Lonchura striata: one gene and its partners. The protein of the gene in region 3 purifies or fractionates together with the protein of the main gene of each other region. This does not show direct contact. Links are inferred from orthologs where the notes say so. Each region holds a gene or a part of one and is shown on either strand. Other genes may lie near its edges.

Region 1 (7,992 bases), on a different chromosome or scaffold from region 3:
TAAAGAGTCATTAAAGCTTGAGACAGTAAGATTTCCTTGAGCTTTCACAGTTGGCCTGGCCCAAGAAAGCAGAAGGAAAGGCAGGGAATTAAAAAGGTTCTCAGACTGCACTTGCACCCACTGCCAGTTTGTCACTGGGTATTCCAAAAGACCAGAGGCTGCTGCTCCAGTTGGTGCAAGAGCCACACAAGGCTCCAGGTCACTGATATGAACCTTAAAGCCAGAAATATCACTAGGAAAAGGACAAATGCAACCATCCTGATACATAACGCTTCCAACAGAATTACAGCGAGGCATTATGATGTACAACAAATCAATATAAACAACTGCTTTCACCAACTTCCAGCATGGACTGTGGGAGCCAAATACATGGGAACAGGAGAGAAATTCAGTTCAACACACTAATTACAGCCAAGCACACCATCAATAATACTTGGGATCTCTCCCTAGGCAGTTCAGTTTCACACCATCTTACAGTATAATACACTTTGGACCTCAAGACTCATTCTAAGTCAGGTATAGCTGACAATGAAAGAAAATTTCTTTTCACTCTTTGGGTCACAGAATCAGAAGGCTACACTGTCTATAACCCAAAAAATGGAGATTCTTACAATGCTGCAGGAACCAAGCTGCCTGGCTTGCTGAAACTGAAGCCAGTTAATTCCCTCAAAGGCTTCCCAGAAGTCCACCCCGGGATTCCAGCAATGCTCAGCGCAGCTCCCAGCCTGGCAGGAGGCACAAGGCTGGCAAGGCACCTTTCATAACACCAAGTGCAACACTTAAAACAGCTCAGCCTGTCCTTCCTTCCTATTTCCTCACTTCTACATTTCCAAATCCCTGTAAAGACTACTTTTCTATACCTATATATAAGTTCATTACTACTAGAAGCATACCAACGTCTATTTTAATGAAGAATTATTTGCAAGCACCACAACTTCACCACAACCACAACTTCTTCAATACTTGTATTTATTAAGGATTTAGTATGATACATAAATAAAACAAAGGTTACAAAATTTTAAATCTGTCAGGGAAAAAAAATATACCACATTTAACAGCACTTTGAGTTCAAGCTTTAAAATCTACTTCCTGAAGAATTTAAAAATAAACTTGAAACTGTACAGCTTTCTCATTTCCAAAAAACATATTTCAACTTGCAAACAACAGAAGCCTCAGTGCATCGTTTGCCACATGCTGCAGCTAATAAATAAAAACAACTCAGTTATGTTTATACCAATCTTTTCTTTTGGCCTTTGGAAGCTAATCTGAACCACATGTCAAGCAGGGAAATAATGGAAACTGTAGTTACTGCTTTTCTAAATATAACATTAATCTCACTTCTATGTCAGAGCATTCAAGATATGCAAGAAAAATAAAAAAAAACAGGAATTACATAAGTGACAAGGCCAACTACTTGCAAAAGAAAACTTTTAACTCATGATCTTAAAAGCTGCTTTGTTGCAAACAGGACTTTATGGCCAAAGAAATTCAGAAGTCAGGGGACCTCTCCTCGGGAATGATCACAGAAGAGATTCTGCTCTCCAGCACAGAAAAAAGCATCATTCCTCCAATGATCCAAAATCCAAGGGAAAAAAGCCCAAACAGTAGTTTTTGCAGTGAAATTCAGAGGCAGCCATCTTAGTGTAACATGACACTTGTCACTGGCAGCTTGGAAAAGTTTCAGACAATTTTCAGCATTATTTCAAACCCAAACCTGCTCCTTATATACTAAGTAGGCATGCACAAATACGCAGATTTCTTCTGCCTCTTGTTAATAGGAGCTAGAAATGTTGGGACAATTCCTTCATGCAGTACTTAGATCTTCAAAGAGTACAAATATTAATTCTAACAACACCTCCTTGTGGAATTTAAGTAACACATTCCCCATTTTGAAGATTAAGAAAAAACACAAGTCAAAAGCCAAAAAATCAGAAAAATCTTAGCAATGTTAGAAAACAATTCCAGCAAAAATAACTTAGGAAGCCTGAACTTTTTTACAAGAATGCTGAATGGTACTTTCAAATCACAGTTTAAACCTGAATCTGGATATGGGAATACATATGAAATGTCCATTTGCTTTGCTCAACGAGCACTTAGCAGCACTGGGATATTTTACTGACTGCATTCACATCTCCCCACCTAAGGAATGGTTAAAAAGTTAGAAAACAGTAAAAAGTATTACTCTTACCTTCTGCTACATCATCATCTACAGCGCCTTTCACCTGAGAAAAACACCACTGAATGTCATTTCCTCCTCCAGCTCCTGAAAATTGAAAACAATTCAATAAAAACGAGCCCCCCCAAGAGCAGCAGCACAAGCACACAATGGCTCCAGATTGCACATTTCAGAGCCTGTGCACGCCCACTTCCTCAGCAGTGCTGAGGCACAATCACACACCACCCTCCCCACCTTTTTCCTTTGGATATTGTTTTTGTCAGCCTTCAATGCACTGTTTGTCAAAAACAGGGAAGCACAACCAGTGTAAAAGCTTCACTCACTCAAAGCTTGCTGGACTAAGCACCATCAACTACGAATTTAAAATTCAAGTGCAGGAACTGCTGTGTTTCACACAAAACTTTTTCCTACTCGAGGAGTCAGAACCCCCCTAAACACACACACACACAAACAGCTTAAATATCAACTATCAGAGCTGTGCTTTTTTAAAAAATTTCAATCTCCTGTCCAATACAAACCAAGCACACAATTCATTTCCTCCTTTCACAAACCTACTGCACCGACCCTAAGCACTCAAGGCTAAAGAAAAAGAATTTTACCACAATTTTAGAGTCTCTTCGCAGAAGTAATGAAAGCAATTATCAGCCTAAAAAAAAAAGCAGCAAATCCGAGCAGAAAAGCAAACAAGCAATCGGAGGGGGACAAATTCTACTACCATAGAAAACGGATCGGAGAGAAAACTTCAGGAACATTACTGCCTCGGCTGAAGGCAGTGATTCATTTGAACCGTGCCACAAAAACACACACCAAAAATCACCACCCATTTCTTTTGCATTTCATTCTGAGCAAATCACTGCAGGGCTGAGGACATACAGGAAGAGCCAGAAATGGGCTTGCCTCGGTTGGTTGGTTTTTTTGTTGGTTTTTTTTTTTTTTTTTTTTTCCCAAAAGCCACTGTCAAAATGGAACTTTTCCTCCACACAACTCAAACCGGCTGAGCAACAGATGGCATTTACACATTAATCCCGAGCTCTGGTAGGGCTTTGGAGATAACAAAGAATACAGGAGGAGACTCTTCCCAAGTTAAGGGGAGCAAAAAAACTCAGAGAGAAGGAAATCAGAGGCCTGAAAATAATCTTTCCAGAAAAGATGAAATATCTCAGAATGAGAAGTCCTGGAATAAAGTACAGTTTGCATTTTTTGCTTGCTTTAAATTCTTCCTTGAAGGATTACAGACATCCAAGATGCACAACCTGAGGAGGTGAAAGCAAGCAACAGAACCCATCTATGCAGGAGATGGCAAAATGCTTTCCCTCCTCCCATCATTCCCCCAAAATCCTACAACCCATTTTCTTCTCTTCAACTTCTTCGTTTGTCATTTAGCGGCTGGCACCATAGCAGCACTTAAAGGGAACAGCTCGGAGAGAATCACTGCTCCTGCTTCTTCGAGCTCTTTTCCATAAAATTTACTTGAACCAAGTTGGCACTTTCCCCCCCCCACGACTAAAACGGCAAGAGGAGGGTGGAGCATGTGCATATGGTGTAGGGGGGAAAGGCAAAGCACATGCCTCACAAAGCCTCCCATGCTTTGCTCCTCCACATGCAAAGCACTGAAAAGACAATTCACGTGCAGAGGAGGGGGATGAATACATTTCCAAATGAAGAAAATGCAAGGAAAAGTAAGAGGGAAGAGATCCTTTCTGCACACACATTCCCAAGCCTACCAACAGCACTTGGGGATGTGAAATGGGGAGTAAGCAGAGGAAGGAATGGGAAAGAAAACACGGCGAGACCTGTGCTGTTTAATCACACCCTGTGCCAAATTTCAGTGGCATTTACAGATGCTCAGAGGCTGCTCCCTACAGAAGGGTGCGACTGCAATCTGGACACCGCCTGCACCTGGAACCTCTCTGTACACGGCAGAGAAATAACTACAAGCACCGACCCTAAAGCCTCAAGGGGGAAACTCTTTACCAGAGCATGTGGTGACAGGACAAGGGGGAATGGGTTCAAACTGAAAGAGTAGGTTGAGCTGGGATATTGCGAAGTAATTCTTCCCTCTGAGGGTGGGGAGGCCCTGGCACAGGTTACCCAGAGCAGCTGTGGCTGTCCCTGGATCCCTGGAATTGTCTAAGGCCAGGCTGGATGAGGCTCAGAGCAACCTGGGATAGCAGAAGGTGCCCCTGCCCATGCCAGGGTGTGGAACTGGACCGGTTTTAAGGTCCCTTCCCACCCAAATCACTCCATGATTCTACGAAAAGGCAGCAGACCCACCCTGCCTGCAAGCTCAACTCCAAAACACACCACTTCCCGCTCCACCTTGCTTCTTCCATGTTTTTTTTTTTTTTTTTCTTTTCCCGGGGAACGGAGGGAAGGAGGGGTGGGTGGGAGCAAAGCACGAATTCCCACACGAGAGGCTAAAAAAAAAAAAAAAAAAAAAAAAAAAAAAAGCCACCCCACAACCAGCAAGGCGCAAGCGAGTCGGAATAGGAGAGGCGGCCCGGGAGGCAGCGGGGAGAGTCCCCCGAGCCACGCCGGGGCAGGGGGGCAGGCTGCCCTTACCTGCCATGTTGTGCTGGCGATAGCGGCCGCGGCGGGTCGGGCGGAGCGGGCGGCGCGGGCGGGGCGGGCGGCGCGGGGCGGGCGGCGGCGGCGGGCGGCGATGGCGGCGGATGGAGGAGGAGGAGGAGGAGGAGGAGGAGGAGGCGGCGGCGGCCGCGGCGGGGCTGGGGCGGCCCCGCTCCGGCCCCCCCGGCGATGAGCGTCCAAGATGGCGCCGGCAGAGCTGGGGGTGACGTCAGCGCGGGGCGGGAGCGAGCCGCCCTCAGGAGGGCGGGCGGTGCCGCCATGTCCGTGCCTGGCTCCTGTTAGCCCTCATGGCGGGGGTGCCGCTGCTTCAGCTCGGCAGCGATCGGCCGCCCTCAGCCCGGTTCCACTCGCCCTTCAGCGCGGCGTCAGTCACCCCCATGGTGAGGCTGTGTCCCTCATGGCGGGGCTAACGACCCTCGCTCGGCTCAGCCCCCGCCCGCCCTCATGGAGGTGTTACCGCCCCTCAGGCTGGAGCGATCGGCCGCCTCCACGGGGGGACTGCCGCCCCTCAGCGCGGCCCCTGCCCGCTCTCATGGAGGTGTTACCGCCCCTCAGGCTGGAGCGATCGGCCGCCTCCACGGGGGGACTGCCGCCCCTCAGCGCGGCCCCTGCCCGCCCTCATGGAGGGGCCGCCGCCATCGCCCGCTCCCAGCCCCTCCGTGCTGCGGTGTCCGCCACCACCGCCGCCCGGACTCCCCTGCAGGAACAGCTTCCTTCCTTGACCCCTCTCCCGCAGGCTCGCCCTTCATGAAGCCGAATATCCTGAGCTGGTTGGGAAGCATCCACCAGGATCATCGATCCAGCTGCTGGCCCGGCAGAGATACCACAAAATCCCACTCTGCATCCCTGGGAGTGCTGTTCAAACGCTCCTGGAGCTCTGGCGGCCTTGGGCCGTGCCCATTCCCTACAGGGTGAAGAACATTTCCCTGATAATCCCTCAGGTTGTGCATCTTGCATGTCTGTAATCCTTCAGGGAAGAATTTAAAGCAAGCAAAAAATGCAAACTGTACTTTATTCCAGGACTTCTCATTCTGAGATATTTCATCTTTTCTGGAAAGATTATTTTCAGGCTTCTGATTTCCTTCTCTTTGAATTTCTGAGATCATCTCCCTTTCGCTTGTGCTTTGGTTTTGGTGTTTTCCCCCCTCTCTTCCCTTTGCTCCCTCCTGCCATTTGCCCGTGCAGCAGGCACACAGAACCTGTTTGCTTGCACATTTTCCACCCCCTTGGATGCTTTCCACAACGTCCAGGGCTCGGTCTCTGATTTCACTCTGTTCTCATTGCTATTCCCTGCATACACCGGCCATGCTCCTGAGCCATTTTTAGCCTCCATCCACCTTTCACACTGACAGCCAGCAAGATCCACAAAGAAAGGCTTTCAGCCGAGCCCAGCTTGGCTCAGCTCCTGCTGGCTTGGGAGGGATGGAGGCTCCTTTTTAGCTTGCTGGGTCCCAGTTACTGTCTCATCTGTAGTTAACTACAGGACTGGGATAATTAATTCAGTACAATCTATTTAAGATCTTGTGAAAGTCATCAGTTTCCCTTAAAAGATGTTTGTGCAAACATATTCTTCTTGGGCTGGGTAGATCTTGCTAATCCAGATTTCACTTGGAGATTCATAAGCTCATCCTGCAAACCCAGCGCTACCACAAACTTGAAATGTGACTTGGAACAAGCCTCCAAAACCCTCCCATACACTGATTTCTACATTTCCATCTCTGAACACCTAAGAGGATGCTTTTATAAATGAAAAGACCATTGAATTGCTTGTCAAGTCCACCATGAAACAGAGCTGTAGGAACTAAATACCACAAATGAATACAAAAAGACAGGCTGCCACCAGAAACCCACAGCTGGCCCAAATTACAAGTTATTTTGGAATTCTGATTTGTCTCTGCATCCATGATAGAAAAAAAATTGCACAGGCAAATAAATCAATCTTGGAAATAACAATAACATTTGAAAGAACATTCAGCATATATGGGATGTTCTAAAGAATTGCAACTTACCCAGGTTTGGAAATCTCTGTAACCAAGTGTTTTGCTTGGGTTGTTTTGAGAGCAACCCAAAAACACTGCAAGTTTGGAAACAATCACAACGAAAACAAACTCCCTGGTCCCAAGCATCCCAGTCCACATTTCCCATAGCTCAAGAGCAAATTCACTCAATTCTACAAATTTGTGGCCATGTTTACTTTATACCAAATTCAGCAAGAAAGCTGGCATTCCTCTCTTTTCAGAATTCTTTAAATTCTGAATTTAATTAATAAATTAAATTAATTCTTTAAACATACTCTTTTCAACGTAAGCAGAATTGTCCTGCAACTGTTTAGCAGGAAAATTTGCAGATCTAGTCCAATCCATCCATTGTCTTTTGTATAATTACTGCAGAATTTGTACTCATAGCAGAATAAGCCTTGGTTCAAGAACTTTTGTTGTTAAAAAAAATTAAATATGGCAAAGAGACCTGCAATTAGCTCTGTAAGAGAAATTAATGAAGCCTTAGTAGAAAGCTTATAATTACAATAAAATTTCTCTTAGAAAATATTGAATATCATGGTGCTAGGAGGATGGATTGTAACTCAAACACTTCAGTTTTTTGTTGTGAACCAACAGCTACAGAAAATAGTGGAGCGTAATAAATAAATAACATTAAATTACAGCCATAGCAATTAGTGAGACATCTTGGGAACCACAACCTTTGCCTGGGTGTTCACTTGCTTGGTAGTTCAGAGGTTCACGCTATGAATGATTGGTTCAAATTAGGCAGTGTGTGTTCCATAGCCCTGATTCAAAGCTTGTGAGCACACACCTGGATTTTTCTGGAGCTTGAGCATTTGTTGAGGTGCTCTGGGGAGATTGTAACTGTATGGTGTTAAATTTATACACAGCCTCCAACAGCACAAAGCTTTAATGGGCATTTATCTACTCCCATCATGCTTTAATGACTAATTCTTACTCTATACAAAAACTCCTTCAGCTGAGACTGAAGATGACCTCTGGGAAGTGGGAGGAACTTACAGGAACAAGGACTCAAAAAACAGCATTTCTGCATCTATTTGCTGTGATATTTGTCAGAAAAGTACATAAAGAGCAGTCGGTTCACAGCAGCCTAGACCAGGAGCTGTGGAAGTTAGAACAACCTAAAAATCAAAGTGTATCACATGATCAGCAACCAATAAAAATATATAATAATGTAAAATGACTGATCAAACAACTGAGGCTCCA
Region 2 (7,836 bases), on a different chromosome or scaffold from region 3:
ATATTTGAAATAGGATTTTGTTTCAAGGCAGCAAGACTAAATCAAACATGATTATCTTGGCTTTGATTGTGATATTTCACTTACTATGCTCTATTTTCCTTGCATTTGAAATATGCAATTTTTCTTTTCTGTTATGTAAATGAATGTTTTTCATCTAACATCTATTTTTGGAAAAAAAAAATTTTCTTTCCTAGGCTAAGACAGAAATGTTGCAGAACACAGCTCTGAAGTCTAACTGACAGAGTTAGAGTACTGCAAGGTCAATGCAAGCATTCAAAAACAAAAGCAGCAAGAGATGCCCAGAACACTAACTGAACTTATTAATATGCAAATGTTTATATACACAGATATCTATCTAGATATATAAATCACACTATAATATTTAATATAGATAAACTAGTCCTTTTGTCCATCAGTTGGGTGGAAAATATAGCTAACCAATGCAGTTGCAATTAAAAGTTGTGGCCTTTCTGAAAAGTAAAAAAGAACTGGGATAAAGAGAGAAAAAAAGTCTGTGATGGAAGTCATAGGAACAATCAATTTTAAACAAAAGATTCTGTCTAGCTCTGTGTAATTTACTTTACAGGCATACTTCAGCAAAGGAAAAGGTTTGGACTTCATCCAAAAACAGTGTCAAGCAAAAGAGGTCACGTCATCTGCCACCATGGACTTCTGTTTGAGCTATTTTTCACTTCTGCAAAGTCTGCTGATTATAGTACTCTGTGTGCACTTAGATATAAGTGGCATTAATACCCAGCATGTACTCTGGAAAAATGTCATATTTATATACAGTATATTATATTTATATGCAATATCTTATATTTATATACAATATATATTGTATATATAATTTATACACAATATATATTTATATACAATATAATATATATATGTCATATTTTTATACAATATATTAACATAAACAGGGTTTACTACCTGCAGATGACTTTGATTCTACAGGTTTTGTGATCAAATGACATTGCTTCAGTTTGTTTCCTGGTCTCTGAATTTCATCTATCTCCATGGTAAGTTAAGAGAAAACATTTAAGATTCCTATTTAAGTTGGGGAATAAAATTTGGAATCCAAAAATTGGCAATATTAAAGAGAACTGAAGTTAGGGTTAGCAAAGTAATTTAAAAGAATATGCCCTGTGAAAAGAGATGACCCAATAAATCAAAGGAATAAAACACCTGTTGAGAAAAAACATTATCATCTCAAAGCAGTGCTGAAACACTGGTATTTACCCAGACAAATGAGGTTAGGAAGCATATTCTACTCATTCAAATCTTTAAATGAAAGTAAATGCCAAACTAAAGCTCATTTTCAGCATTCTGTGATGCCTAAGAAATGCTGTCACTCACTCATTACACTCCCTCACACGGATATAATTTCCACCCCCATCTATCGTCATCACATCTGGTTTGGTATGCAGTTTCACCAAAAAAAAAATCACATAGGCAAAAATAAATCACAACATCTTTTGATAAATGCTTTAGTATGCAATTGTGTGTAATTACACACACTATTAAGTGCACCTTGAAATATAGGGACACCGCTCACCATGGAATAATAGGAAGGAAAAACTTAATCCAAAACCTTGGTCAAGCTACAGCTTATTATTAGTACCCTGGGGTTTAAATAATTTCTCCAAACAGCAAAATACAAGACACAAAACTTCAAACCATAAAGGATCACGGATAATAGCTGAAGAGACACCAAACAAGTAATCTTTCTGCCTGCCCCAAGGCTTTATCTCTTCAATGTATGTTTGTGAAACAAACATTAAATATCTCAAATGAATGGGATTTCATTATCTACCTAATTCCTATATTCCAGTGTTTCCCTGTTGTCAGCCTTTCCTTAATGTTGAATCTGAAGCCAATCTACTACAGGGTTCCACCTTCCTCCGTATTGGAAAGTTTTTCAGTCTAACTCAACTTCTGATGCATTTTAAACGTTTACAAAGGGTAAATACACTCTTCTTAGAAATCCATAACCCCAGCAGACCAAAAACATCAAGATGAGGTCTTAGTTCCACTTAACTCATTGACAACAGACACTGGAAGATGCTCATGGGCACAGCACACTACACATCTGGCATCCTGGAGGACACAGGTTCACACCTAAATTCAGATATTCTGCTTGTTCAAAATCATACACAGTGTGGTATGGTTGGTATGAGAGGCTTTCCTGTCCTGACACCCGAAGACAGTTCCTCTTCTGATCACAGAACATTAATAAATAAAACTTTCCAGGTGACTTCTTTCTTCAAAGTTAAAAGTGAAAAAAGGCCAGAAAACTTTTCAGTCCACTTTGCACCAACACCCACTGACACCAAGGTCAGAAGGTCTCATGCCATCTAAGCTGCTACACGTAAAAAAAACTTCCCCCCCGCCCGCCCCCGCAAAACAAAACGAGCCAAGGCACTTTACAAGGCCTGGAACATGCAAAGCACCGGCAGATACCCCTTTGCCGGCCCACCTCCACACCTGCCCTCGGGCACACCGCTGGGGCGGCTGCCAGCAGCGAGCCCCGCTTCCCCCCGCGGCCGGCCGGGCCAGCGGGCAGGGGACGCGCCCGCTCAGCATCCCGCACTCACCTTCGGAGACCTCGAGCTCGGCCGCTCCATTGAGCTGGCAGAGGCACCAGTCAGCCGCGCTCTGGCCGGGGGAGCCGCCGGCTGGGCAGGAGGAAAGGCACAGTCAGTCGGGCACAGAGCCAGCGGGGCACAGGGCTGAGGAAGGGACAGGGAAAGTGGCGGCGAGGGGGAGAAAAGAGAGCGGGGAGGAGAGATGGAGAGGGCTGAGCAGGGAGCGGAGGATGAGAGGGGACAGCGGGTACCGGGGGAAGGAGCGCGTTTCCAGATACCCTGTTTGTGGGACATGGGTGTCGCCCTCCGGAATGCGCCCGCTGCTCTGAACTGTTCTTTGCTTTGCTCCCAGCGCCCGCGGCTCGGGGCGCCTCCTCCTCCTCCCGGCGGAGCGGGCGCAGGCAGCCTCCGCTGCCTCGGGGTGCTCGGGGAGCCGGGGGAGGGAGGCCGGGGAGGAGGCAAGGCTCCGCCCGGAGCTCCCGGCGGAGGCGGCGCAGCCTCGCCCGGGCCGGCCGCGCCCGGCAGCGCCGGCCCCGAGGCGCGGGAGAGCCGCGGGGCCGCGGAGCGAGCCGAGCCCGGCCGCGGCGGCTTCGGCGGGGTGCGGTGCCGCAGCCCGGCCTTGCCCCGGCCAGGACAGCCCTCCCTGCTGCCCGTCCCGTTCCGTGTGCGCTCCCCGTCAGGTGCCGCCCGTGGCTGCGGTGCGGGCAGCCTGGCGAGCATGGGCGCGCATCCCGGCTGCCCCCAAGCCTGGACGCGCATCCCTGGCGGGGGACACCACACAGCAGGCACCCACTGCCAGTGGCACCCACTGCCAGTGGCACCCACTGCCAGTGGCACCCACTGCCGGTGGCCCTAGTGCCGCTCAGCCTCGCCACAGCTACGTTCGCCCCATAACATTGCCCTCAGTTCTCTTACCTAGGCCACTTGGGCTATCACTGATCAAGGCCACAAATGCCACATGAACAGTTGGGTTATATATGTACTGCAAGGCTGGAGAGTGGTTTTCCTCTGGTCCACGAGCCCCTGTGAATACACAAACTGTCTTTACAGCATCCCTGAGACGTTGGTAAAGAAAGCAAACCTGCTACCAAGTAAGTCTAAAGGGCTCTGTGCAGTGACCTTTGCCTTCAGTAGGAAATGGTTTGGGAAATGGAAAATTATAAAACACTGAAACAGTCAGCTAGAGCAAATATATGTTAATAAACGCCTTTATTCTTAGAGACTTCCACCCCAAAAACATGTCAGGAGAGAAATATAAAGGTACACATTAATTGCTCTGTTCACCAGGTGACTTTCTTGATACCTAATTTAAGACAATTGTGACTCTTAGCTTGTAGTTGGCAGCATCCTGCCCACGGCTTCTGTCTTATCAAGGTAACAGTGTCAGAGGCCCACGTATGGCACAGTTTGTGTCAAAAAGAGCAGCCACACTTCATATAGGCTAATGAGAAAAGCTTAAGAAAGAAGAGAGGAAGACTATAATGAAGCCATACTATGAGATTAGGAGCCAACAAGAGGATAAAGTATCGACATAGGCGGCTATCATGGCATGACTGCACTGGCTCCTCCATCTATCTTTTTGCTGTTTGTGAAGCAGTATGTAAGTGGCAGGGAAGAATTGTTTCCTGACATACCTTTCCACCTGACATACCATTCATCCCTTCTTGCAGCAAGTAGAACCCCTCCTGATACCTTCAGGTGTATGAACTGCGGGCAGTTTGATTCACATTCTTCTCCACTCTATCCAAGACAGAGGTGCAGTGTGGCCGTTGTGAAAGGATAAGGAGGACAATTACAGTTTCTGAAGGAAATAGATTTTAAATTGGAGTAACATTCAGCAAATATTCCCAGGTACTTTTAGCAACAAAGCAAAACACTGATATTTAAGCTTTCCTGGGAACTTCACCTAAATTACAAAGATAGTATTGCCTTCTGAGGTAAAAACACCAGTGTGTTTAGACAGTGTGTGTATATATATCTTCAAGCCATATGTTTGCTGGATGTGCACTAGCATTCTCGGAATTAACATGTTTATGCTGATGATTTGAGGGGGAAAAATGTATCATAGAGCTGTATTAAAGTAAAGCTTCATCCAGCTGCTTATAGTGGTACTAACTTCCCCTAAAAGTTACCTATAGACCTTGATTATTCTTCATGACAATGTATTATTATCAAAAATAAAACTGATATTAGCATTCTAATGTTAGCCTCTTATTTTCACAGAAAACTCTAAAACTCTTTGAAATAGCAAACAAAGGCCCTGTTCTGGGAGAATATATTCATATTAGATTTAAGTTTTATGGAATGTGGCCATTTTATTGCGTTCAACTCATTACTACTGATTTACATAAAGCGTTTTCCTTTCCATCTTCAATTATTTACAACAATTATTTAAAACTTTATATGTTAAAAAAAAACCCACCAAGTTTGGTATGTAAAGCAGCACATGTTTTTTTCTTTCTAGAATGACGAGATCAATACAAATTATGTGATCCTTTTTTACAGGTGTCTTGAGTATTGAGGTGGTTTAATTTGCACTAGGAGCCAGCTAGTCTGGCAGATGGACACTACTAAGCTATTTGTGATTGTTTCCTTCAATCACAGAGTGATGACTGGTTTAACTAGGTTTGGGATGTAATGCGTAATGCTAAATCCATACCAAACTTGAAGGTGGGAGCAGTTACCCTTCTCCATGTGATGTTCTATACTTTTGCACTGTTGGAAATGAGCGAGGACTTTGATATGACATTTTGTGTCATTTCAGAATTGCATTGTTGTTAAAAGTATGTGATTTAGTCAAACTAAAACTTAAGGAAAGTAGTTGATCTATACTATAGTGTATGTTTTTTAAAGAATCCAAGTTTAAAGAAATATAGTTTTATGTGTTTTGGCTTTCTATGTCACAATGATTTAATAGGCAGAAAGTGGTGCATCTGCTTACAAAAAAACTTCTGAGGAGACTGGACTACACTATGCGACAATATTTTTTGTTTGGGTTTGGATTTTTTCCTTTTTCACTAGGACTTTATGCAGTTCAAACAGAAGTGTTTACCTTTCCAGTCCTCAGCACAGGGTCCACCTGTTCCTAGCAGGAATCAGAAGGTCAACCACATAAAATTTAACCCTTCTTCAATTCCAAAACTTCAGAGATGCAGACAATAAGCCGTAATGAAGTACCATACCACGAAACAAAATTTCCTTTCAATTCAAAGGAAAACAAGAAATATTTATAGATGTCCAAGATGCAGAACTCAGCTTCTCCCCGAGCAGCCCAGCGTTACCCAAATTCCAGATACCCGAACTGGGTCCGGAATTCCCGCACAGGGGCGGCGCTTTCCGCCCGCCGCGCACCCGCAGCGCCGCTCGGGGCGCGGGCGGAGTCACCCCTCGGGCCTCGGAGCCTCCCGCTCCCCAGGAGACTCCTGCCCCTTCTTTTATTTATTTATTTGATTCCGGGCGGGGAGGCGGTGCCGCGGGACGCGGAAGTGCGGCGGGAGCGCCGCAGCGGCCATGGCTGCCCCGCGCATCCCGCTGCTCCCGCTGCTCCCGCTGCTCGCCCTCCTGCCGCGGGCCGGCGGCGAGCTGCGCGCCTTCGTGGTGGCCCACAGCCACATGGACGTCGGCTGGATTTACACGGTGCAGGTCGGCGGGGGCGCCGCACGGGCGGGGGAGGATGGCTGCGGCCGGGGCTGAGCCCGCAGGCAGGGCTGCCCGGAGCCGTGTAACGGGGCCGGGCGCGCCGCCGGCTCCCGGGGCGCGCCGCCGGCTCCCGGGGCGCGCCGCCGGCTCCCGGGGCGCGCCGCCGGCTCCCGGGGCGCGCCGCCGGCTCCCGGGGCGCGCCGCCGGCTCCCGGGGCGCGCCGCCGGCTCCCGGGGCGCGCCGCCGGCTCCCGGGGCGCGCCGCCGGCGGAGGCAGGCGCAGATCTTGGCCCGTGCAGCTCCTGCGCCGTGTCCGGCCTGGTGTGTCCGCCATCCCCCGGTGTTTCGGGATCCTCCGTCGGAGGAGGCGTGCTCAGCCTAGGAGCCCTGCCCTTGAGCTGTGGGTTTGTGTGTGCCTGTGTTCAGCAGGATACTCCTGATGGGGTTTTTTCTAAGGAAAGGCTTAATTCTGTGTGATGGAGCTTTGCTTATGTGGCAGATTTTCATGGTCTTTATGTTTATCTTGTTACAAAGCCAAAACCCCAGGGAAACCTTCTGTCATTTCTTAAGAGAGGAGAGCAAGATCCCAGGTCCTCGATGGCTGGGGTGAGGTTGGAGCCTAGCCTCTGAAGTACAGTAGCAAACTAATTTTTGCTAAATACATGAAATGAAGAGCAAAATTAGTCAGGTGGGGCCTGATACCTTTTACATTTGTTAGTCAATATCCTAATCCTGAATTCTTCTTTGTTACTATGAATTGTTTTCATTTGTGTGAAAGATGCTGCGAATACTTTACTCACTAGATTGAAATGGCATTAGGCCTAACTAATAAAAAAGAGCTAGCGTCTCACCCACTATTTCTGCTGTGCATGTATTTTGTCTCCCCTTTTTAGGAAAGATTAATTAATTTCTTCTCTAATACTTCAAACTCATACTTGGAAATTGCATAAGAGAGCACAAACCTGAAACTTCAAATCCTTAGTTAAAATTTCACATTGTTTTAAGTATCTAATAATCTGGATTTCAAAAAGCTCTTATGAACCAATGGGAAAACAATTGAGGAAGAAATTATTTACATAAAGCCATTCCTCCAACACTCAAATGTTTTTCTTTTTCTAGTGGTATGAGCATTTTTACAAAGGTGTGTTTGTGTTTTGGAAAGCAAGGGGCTAGGAAAAGTTAATTTCTGATTTGGATTACCTCATCTCCTTGTTTCAAATGGTAATTTTCATGTAGGAAATTTACCTAAATTGAAGCTCTGCATTCATGTTTTACATATGTCCATTGTTTTTTCAATTGGGAGAGATGTGTGTGTCAACCACTTTAGGATGTACATTTTGTGGTGAGTGTTCTTAAGTACCAGTAGTTTAACTAGATAAGTGTTATATGGTTAGTGTAGAATAACTGTCCAATAACATGCAGATAACTTTGTTACAAGGAAAGACAGACATCTGAGAAAATTCTAGGATGTTGGCTGTTGTCTTTAGACATTCTCAATCCCTTTAAAATTAAGTAAAAGATGGCAGACTGGATCTGGTCAACAAAAGTTGTTCTGGTCGAGGTAAGTGTGCAAAAGGTATCTCTTTGTGTGCACAACTTCAAAATTA
Region 3 (7,447 bases):
GCCGGTGCCGGTGTCACTGGCACTATCCCAGCGGGTCCCGCCGCCGGTGCCGGTGTCACCGGCCGGGTCCCGCCGCCGGTGCCGCGGCCGGCGCTGCCGGGGCGGGCCGCGGCCGCGCGGTTGCCATGGCGACGCCCCGCCCGCGGTGACGCGCGCGGTGACGCCGGTGGCGGCGGAGGGGGCGGCGCGGCCCCGGGGGCGCCGCGCGGAGCCCGAGCCGGAGCCGCCGCCGCCGCCCCCCGAGCCCAGCATGGTGATGGCCGAGCCGCGGCGGCCCCCGGCGCTGCTGCCCCGCGGGCTCGGGCCCGTCCGCGTCGGCTTCTACGACATCGAGGGCACGCTGGGCAAGGGCAACTTCGCGGTGGTGAAGCTGGCGCGGCACCGCATCACCCGCAGCGAGGTGGGCACGGCGCGGGGGGCGCGGCGGGGGCTGCGCGGGGCCGGCGCCGCTCCGCTCCGCTCCCTTCCGCGCCGCTTTTGTCCCTTCCGGCACCTCCCGCGGAGCCCCGGCCGCTGCCCCGGGGGGGTTCCCCCGCTCGCATCCTCCCGGGAAGGGCGGAACGCCCCCGGGGCCGCGGGGGGATGCCCGAGGATGTCACCCGCGGGATGTCACACCCCCCGACCTCCCCCTCCCGCCCCCGCTAAGGATGCCACCCGAAAGATGACACCCCCAGGATGTCACCCCCAGGGTGGTGGCATCAGCCCCGGGGTGGTGGCATCGCTGCCGGGATGGCACCGCGAGGATGCTCCGGTGCTGCTCCAGCAGCACTTTCTGCTCCCTGGGAAGGGTCAAACCTTGTGCTGTGCCTGCCGCCGTGCCCCGGGTATTTTCGGGTTTCCTGACCTGGGCAATGCTGGGTTATCTGTTTCAGCAGTGTGTGTGTGTGTGTGTGTGTGTGCTGAATTCTTCACGGCATCCTCCAAGTTCACCAAATCCAACCATTTTTAGCCTCTTTTGTTCAACCGCCCCCGTGTATTACCCGGTGATTATTATTAATACCTGGCGCTTTACCTAAAACAAAAATGATTGTCGGTCTGCCTGGGTAAAAATGTAGTCGTGTTCACTTTAAAAAAAAAAAAAAAAGAAAAAAGAAAAAGGAGGTATTTGATGAGAGTAATGGCTCTGAAGGATCAGCTTCCTCTTCTGCCTTGTTTTAGGTAGTTTTAGTTGCTACACCTAGAGGTGAGCTTTTTGTAAGGCTCTCTTCTGGTGGCTTTCATTGTTGACTGAAGAAGAGGTTCCTGGCTGCTCTGTCCCTGGCCAAAGTCACTCAAACGCTGTCCCAAGGCCTGCAGGTATTCACCACCGTGGGCTCGGAGGGGAAAATCCTAAAATCCTAAAATCATCCCTTCAGGAATGGCAGCATGCCCTGAAAGCTGCAGCCCAGCTGAGGACAGCAAACCCCGGGTGCTAACAGGGCTGAGCTCTGCGTGGCAGGGACTGGCAGAAACTTCTCCTTTTGCCTCATTTCTCAAGTTCATCCTAAACTCGGTTCTTCCTGAGCCCTTCCTCGCTCCTGCTGAAGAGCCAAGCAGCGCCAGCCTTCCCCTTCCCAAGTTTGGTGCCATGGGCCAGAATTGCAAATGCTCCACTTGAAGATACTCGCTTGTCATTGCTCTGCAGCCCTCATTTCTTTTTGGCAGGCTTTGTGGTGGAGATGAAAACTTTAATCTTGGTTTTTATTGTCCTTTTAGAAAGCCTGTTTGTTTAGCATTGTTCGAAATAACAAAGGTTGCAGAAAGCACAGAGCTTAAAAGCTCCCCGATTCCTGGATGCTTCTTTCATCTGTGTCCTAAGGAACTGCTGAATTCTCTTAGTCTTCAAATATTTTTTAACCAGCTTTTCTGTCCAGCCTGCAGCCTTTTTATCTTCTGGGGGATTTTTACAGCAAATTTGCCCGTGTTGGAGGACTTTTTGTCAAGGTCTTTGATTTTTTGAGTCAGCTCTGACTTCTGCAGGGAGAGATGCAGGAGTGTTTTTCTGGAACTGAATTGCTGAGTTGGTTGCTGGAAGTATTTACACAATCTTTGAGGAAGGGGAACCCTGTTAAGATCACTTCTGGTGATGTCAGAGGAAATAAATTCCAGCCAAATACTCTTTGGAATAAGCACTTCCAGCTTGGAGCAGCTCACCTGATTGTTGGACCCCTGAGCACACAGAGTGGAAATCCTGCTTGTTAATGACTCCAGACTGAAGGGTTTTCATATTTCAAACTTCTTCTAAACTGTTGCTTAAGTTCCAGTGGAAGAATATTCAGTTTTTAGGTTCTGGTGCACCCTCAGGTCTGTGCTACAGGAGGATGCTGTGATGCTGCTGAGACTTGCTCAAAAAACCTGTTTTAAAAGGACTCCTTGTCAAAGTTTCTCCTGAATCTCCTGATTTCAACCCTTTACATTCAGAACCTGTTTGTTGTTGGGCTTTTCCAGCGCTGGCATTTTGAAATTGTGTTTGATATGATTTTGACCTTTGAAATATTTGCCTTTTTATTTTTTAATGCAACTCTAGCCAATAACCATCCAATTAAAAAAGATGGGCTCTAATTACCTTGAATGCAGCACTTATGGATTGTGTAAAATCCATCCTTTTTATGGAAAGACTGCAGGTGAGGAGATAAAATTGTTGCCATAAATTGTTAGCAGAGGTGGGAATGAAATGAAAACACGAAGCAGGAGAGCAGCACAGGGTGTGTGCAAACGAAATCAGAAATCAAAATTTGAATTCATGCAAGTTCTGAACAACCGCACAGAAGCGTGAAAGTTGGGAAAAATGGGGGGATTAATAAATTTATCAGGTGATAAAGATGTCAGGAATAAATAAATTAAATAAGGATATGCAGGAATAGAGGTGCTGCCTGACCCTTTTTACTGCCAGTCCACCCAGGGGGGCTGAACCCGACCTTTGCTTGTCTTTTTTGGGGTTTTTGGTGCCATTTGAGTGGAGGGCACGTGGCTTTTTTGCTGCCACGCTCCTTTCTTGATGCTGCTGCCCAGAAATCCTGTGATCCCAGGGCAGCTCCTGCTAATGAGGCGTGGAAATGAGCCGAGATTTTCCTGGGGAGGACGGAGAGGAGGGAAGGGGAATAATTGGTGGCGTCAAAGTTGGAGGAGATGGAGATTTGCTTCCACTGAAATGGGATGGGAGTGGAATAAGGGAAAGGTTTGGAATGTAGGGAATAGGGGAAAGGTTTGGAGTAGGTGAAGGTGCTGCTTGGAAAAAGCAGGAATTTGGGAACACACCCCTAAAAGCCTTAATTAACCCCCCCTAAGGATTAATCCCCTGCAGAGGAACTCTGCTCGCTGCTCCCTAGGGGAAAACAAAACCTGGCTCTCCCTGTGCCTCCCAGATGTGCTTCCACCTGGCTGCTGTTACAGCGAATTTCTATTTTTCTTTGAGAAAAAAAAAAAAAAAAAAAAAAAAAAAAAAAAGAAAAAAGAAAAATGACCCTGCAGCCCCTGATTTGATCTGTGGCAGCAGTTCGGGTGAGCTCAGGTATTTGCAAAGTGAGTAACTCCAGCAGAGTCAGCAGCTCCCTGCGCTGCGCAACAAAACACGGAGTTTTTCCAGACTGCAGGAAGTTGTGGTTGTTAGTTTTAATGCATTTTATCTATTTTAAGAATGCACTGGGTTAACAAATCCGAATTTCTGTAACCTGCAGGGACAAAGCTCTGTTTGAATGTGAACTTGTAGCGGGAGGTTGTGTTGTGGTTTTGGTTTTTTTTGCTTTTTTGCCTTTGTTTTCCCTTTCAAGAATTAAAGGAACGAAACAAAAACAATGAAAACTGACATTTGGAGTAGCTGAGGAGCAGCAGCAGCAGAACTTTCATCTTTTCTTGACAAGCATTTCATCCTCCCTCCTTGGCAGTTGCAATTCCCAGATGTCAGGGCAGGATTGAGCAAACTCCAATTCCCTGGGCCTCCAGTGGAAGAGGGAAGGAAATAAGTGCAGTTCCTTGTATTTTAAAATGGTTTTTGTATTTTAAAAACCACAAAAGCTGCAAAAATATCTTGGAATGTAACTCCTTAAGCAGCAAAATCTGGTGACAGGCAGAGATCAGGGATTTTTTGGCTTTCCTTCTCAGGTGAAAGATGTGCTGACATTATATATTGAAATTTGGGGTTTTTTTGTTGTTTATTTCGAGCTGTTGCCAGTAGTTTTTGGCAAGCTGCATGTTTAGGAACAAAACACACTTTTCAGATAGGAAACTGCTCCGTGGCTTGAAGGAGCTTCTCCACCTCTAAGAATTACATCCCTTTTCCTGTCATCAAGAGACAGCTGAGCTCATGGACAAAAAGGAGCTGCTGAATTCCCTGTTCCTGCTCACATCCTTGGGAAGATTTTGCTGGATTTTAAGTATTTTCAAGTGGTTCTTCTGTAAAATCTTCCCTGCTCCTGGCAAGATGAAGATGCAGAGCGAGCTGAGGTATTAAATCTGCATTTGAGTGGAGGAGCTGCTGCTCTCCTGTGGTATATATATATATATATTTTATGGACATATTTCATGCACACTGGAAGTTGTGCATTTTCCTGGGAGTTGGGGAAAGACTGGGGACTTTTAAAGAGGGAAAACCAGAGTGAGCTGAAGTCAATAAATAGTTAATTGTGAACTCAGGAGGGCCCATAATCAGTGTTGGAGCAGATAATGAGGTTCACCTCCCATGGATTTCCTGTGCAGCAGCTCTCCCATGTTCAATAGTTTGTATATATGGTTTGTATATAATAATTCTGCTATAATTGGAATTATTAGTGGGACTTGCACTGTTTGCTCCTGCTTCAGCATTAATAAAGTGACATTCAGGGTGAGCAAGCACCATTTGTATATTCAACACTCTTTAACATTTTTACCCTTTGCAGGGGTTGTATTTTCACTTTCTTCTTGGTTTCAATTTTAAATGTCTTCTGTTGGAGCTTTTTAGTTCCCCTCAGCATCTCGAGTGATCTTCCCTTTTCATTTATTGGCTAAAAAACAAGGTCAGCAGGGCCAGGATGTGTTTTGTGAATTAATTGAGATGTGTTTGCAAGGTTTGACTGGTAAATTCATCTGCAGAGTTTTTATCTCTGAAGGGATGAACTGCAGATACCCTTTCATAATAACATACGAATTAATTAAATATGCCACAGCTGCAAGTGCCTGGAGCCCCTAGGTTTGGACTGTTTGTGTGGAGCCAACACAAGAATTTTAAGTTTTTCATATAAAATATCCTTTTGTGGGACTCTGATTTGTCACCTTGACTCCTGAAATGGGCACCACGGAGATTTTTGGGGAGATGTTGCTCACTGCAAATTCCTGATTGAAGAACACCTGGAGCACTGACCTCCCTCACCTGTCCTGTGCCTTCCATTCTATGGAAAACCTGCTTTTTCTCATAGAAAAACAACTTTTACTCCTAGAAAACCTACTTTTACTCACGAAAAACCTGCTTTTACTCAAGGAAAATCTGCTTTTTCTCATTGAAAACCTACTTTTACTCACGAAAAACCTGCTTTTACTCAAGGAAAACCTGCTTTTACTCATAGAAAACCTACTTTTAACTCATGGAAAACCTGCTTTTTCTCATAGAAAACCTACTTTTACTCATGGAAAACCTGTTTAGTCATGGAGATCCTACTTTTACTCATGGAAAACTTGCTTTTACTCATGAAAAACCTGCTTTTACTCATTGAAAACGTACTTTTACTCACGGAAAACCTGCTTTTTCTCATAGAAAACCTAATTTTTCTCATGGAAAACCTGCTTTTTCTCATAGAAAAACTACTTTTACTCATGGAAAACCTATTTTTACTCATGGAAAACCTACTTTTACTCATGAGAAACCTGCTTTTTCTCATAGAAAACCTGATTTTTCTCATGGAAAACCTGCTTTTTCTCATAGAAAAACAACTTATACTCATAGAAAACCTACTTTTGCTCATGGAAAACCTGCTTTTCCTCACATGCTGGTGTGGGTGGGAGCCCTGCAGCCCCTCCGAGGGACCCCAGCCACTTTCAGTGCTGCCCTGCTCTATTTTCCACTCAGGGATTTGCAGCCTCCAGGTACCCGGGGCTGCATTATTCCCTTTTCAATGAGGGTCAGCTCACCTTGGGGGAGTTTTTAAACCTCATTTTTCCCTCTTGCTCTGCAGGTGGCAATAAAAATCATCGACAAATCTCAGCTGGATGCTGTGAACCTGGAGAAGATCTACAGGGAGGTGCAGATAATGAAGATGCTCGACCACCCACACATCATAAAACTCTACCAGGTAGGCTTAGAGGGGCTTTTCCCCTTTTTTCCCCCTTTTTTCCTCCTTTTTTCCCCCTTCTTTCCCCCTTTTTCCCCCCCTTTTTTCCCCTTTTTCTCCCTTTTTCCCCTTTTTTCCTCCTTTTTTCCCCCTTTTTTCCCCCTTTTTTCCCCTTTTCCCCCTTTTTTCCCCTTTTTCCCCTTTTTCCCCTTTTCCCCCCTTTTTTCCCCCCTTTCCCCCCCTCTTCCCCCCCTTTTTCCCCCACTTTTTCCCCGCTTTTTTTCTCCCTTTTCCCCCTTTTTTCCCCCTTTTTTCCCCCTTTTTTCCCCCTTTTTTCCCCCTTTCCCCCCGCTTTTTTCCCCCTTTTCCCCCCCCTTTTTTCCCCCCCTTTTCCCCCCCCACCTTTTTCCCTGCTTTTTTTTCCCCCCTTTTATTTCCCCCTTTTTATTTCCCCCCTTTTATTTCCCCTTTTTTTCTCCCCCCTTTTTTCCACCCTTTTCTTCCCCCTTTTTCCCCCTCTTAGTTCAGCTAAACAAAAATGAATATCCCAGTTAAGACCAGTTCAACCTTAAATTAATTCTATGCACAAGAAGCTGGCCTTTAAAATATTTTAAAAACAAAAGGGTTTCAATTTAAAAGATAAAACTGGTTTAAAATATCGATGTAGCAGGTAGAGATGGAGCTCAAGGAGTTAAATTTGCAATTGCCTCGATAATATCTCCCCTCAGTTCCTTTCTGAATGAATGACACCACAGAAAAGTGGCAGGGGAGAGAGTGAGAATATTGAAATTATGACTGAAAATCAGCAGGGAGGGTGGTGCTCACTCCTCTGCTTAAAAATGCATTTGATAAATGAATTTATTTTAAAAATAGCCTTCAAATTGTCTACCTGCTTTGCTTTTATTTGTGAGCAGCCTCTTGGGACTTTCAGGCCAGTTAAGAAATAAAATGCAAAATCAAATTCACAAAGCTCTTGCCCACGGACGAGTTCAGCTGATGCTGAAACGTTTCTCTGAGGTTATTGAAATAAACTCAAAATACATTGGAATTTCTCTGAGGTTTTTGAAATCAACCCAATAAAAATACTTGGGAATTGTTGTCCTGAAATCTGAAATGGCTTTTTGAAGTGGAGGATTGTGATAATTCCACGTGTGAGGCAGAACTTCCCCAGCTTTAGGAGAGATCCATAAAAATAAAGATCCATAAAAATAAAAATCCATAAAAATAAT

The links.
Region 1: the proteins of SIK2 (region 3) and PPP2R2A purify together in Homo sapiens (affinity purification with mass spectrometry; 3 studies listed by BioGRID and IntAct, with this or other methods). This does not show direct contact. The link is inferred for Lonchura striata from reciprocal best matches to the Homo sapiens genes SIK2 and PPP2R2A.
Region 2: the proteins of SIK2 (region 3) and PPP2R2C purify together in Homo sapiens (affinity purification with mass spectrometry; 3 studies listed by BioGRID and IntAct, counting the BioPlex papers as one, with this or other methods). This does not show direct contact. The link is inferred for Lonchura striata from reciprocal best matches to the Homo sapiens genes SIK2 and PPP2R2C.

Annotation. Positions count from the first base shown.
Region 1 is NC_134634.1:2,457,937-2,465,928, forward strand, and holds the start of PPP2R2A (serine/threonine-protein phosphatase 2A 55 kDa regulatory subunit B alpha isoform), read right to left. Parts: upstream 3,001-7,992; coding exon 2,892-3,000; intron 2,264-2,891; coding exon 2,189-2,263; intron 1-2,188. UniProt on the Homo sapiens protein: Substrate-recognition subunit of protein phosphatase 2A (PP2A) that plays a key role in cell cycle by controlling mitosis entry and exit. Involved in chromosome clustering during late mitosis by mediating dephosphorylation of MKI67.
Region 2 is NC_134606.1:12,003,859-12,011,694, reverse strand, and holds the start of PPP2R2C (protein phosphatase 2, regulatory subunit B, gamma), read right to left. Parts: upstream 3,017-7,836; 5' UTR 2,886-3,016; coding exon 2,843-2,885; intron 2,682-2,842; coding exon 2,601-2,681; intron 1-2,600. Other genes in the region: MAN2B2 (epididymis-specific alpha-mannosidase), read left to right, coding at 6,102-6,233. UniProt on the Homo sapiens protein: The B regulatory subunit might modulate substrate selectivity and catalytic activity, and might also direct the localization of the catalytic enzyme to a particular subcellular compartment.
Region 3 is NC_134625.1:9,393,211-9,400,657, forward strand, and holds the start of SIK2 (serine/threonine-protein kinase SIK2), read left to right. Parts: upstream 1-4,433; 5' UTR 4,434-5,595; coding exon 5,596-6,033; intron 6,034-6,122; coding exon 6,123-6,239; intron 6,240-7,447. UniProt on the Homo sapiens protein: Serine/threonine-protein kinase that plays a role in many biological processes such as fatty acid oxidation, autophagy, immune response or glucose metabolism.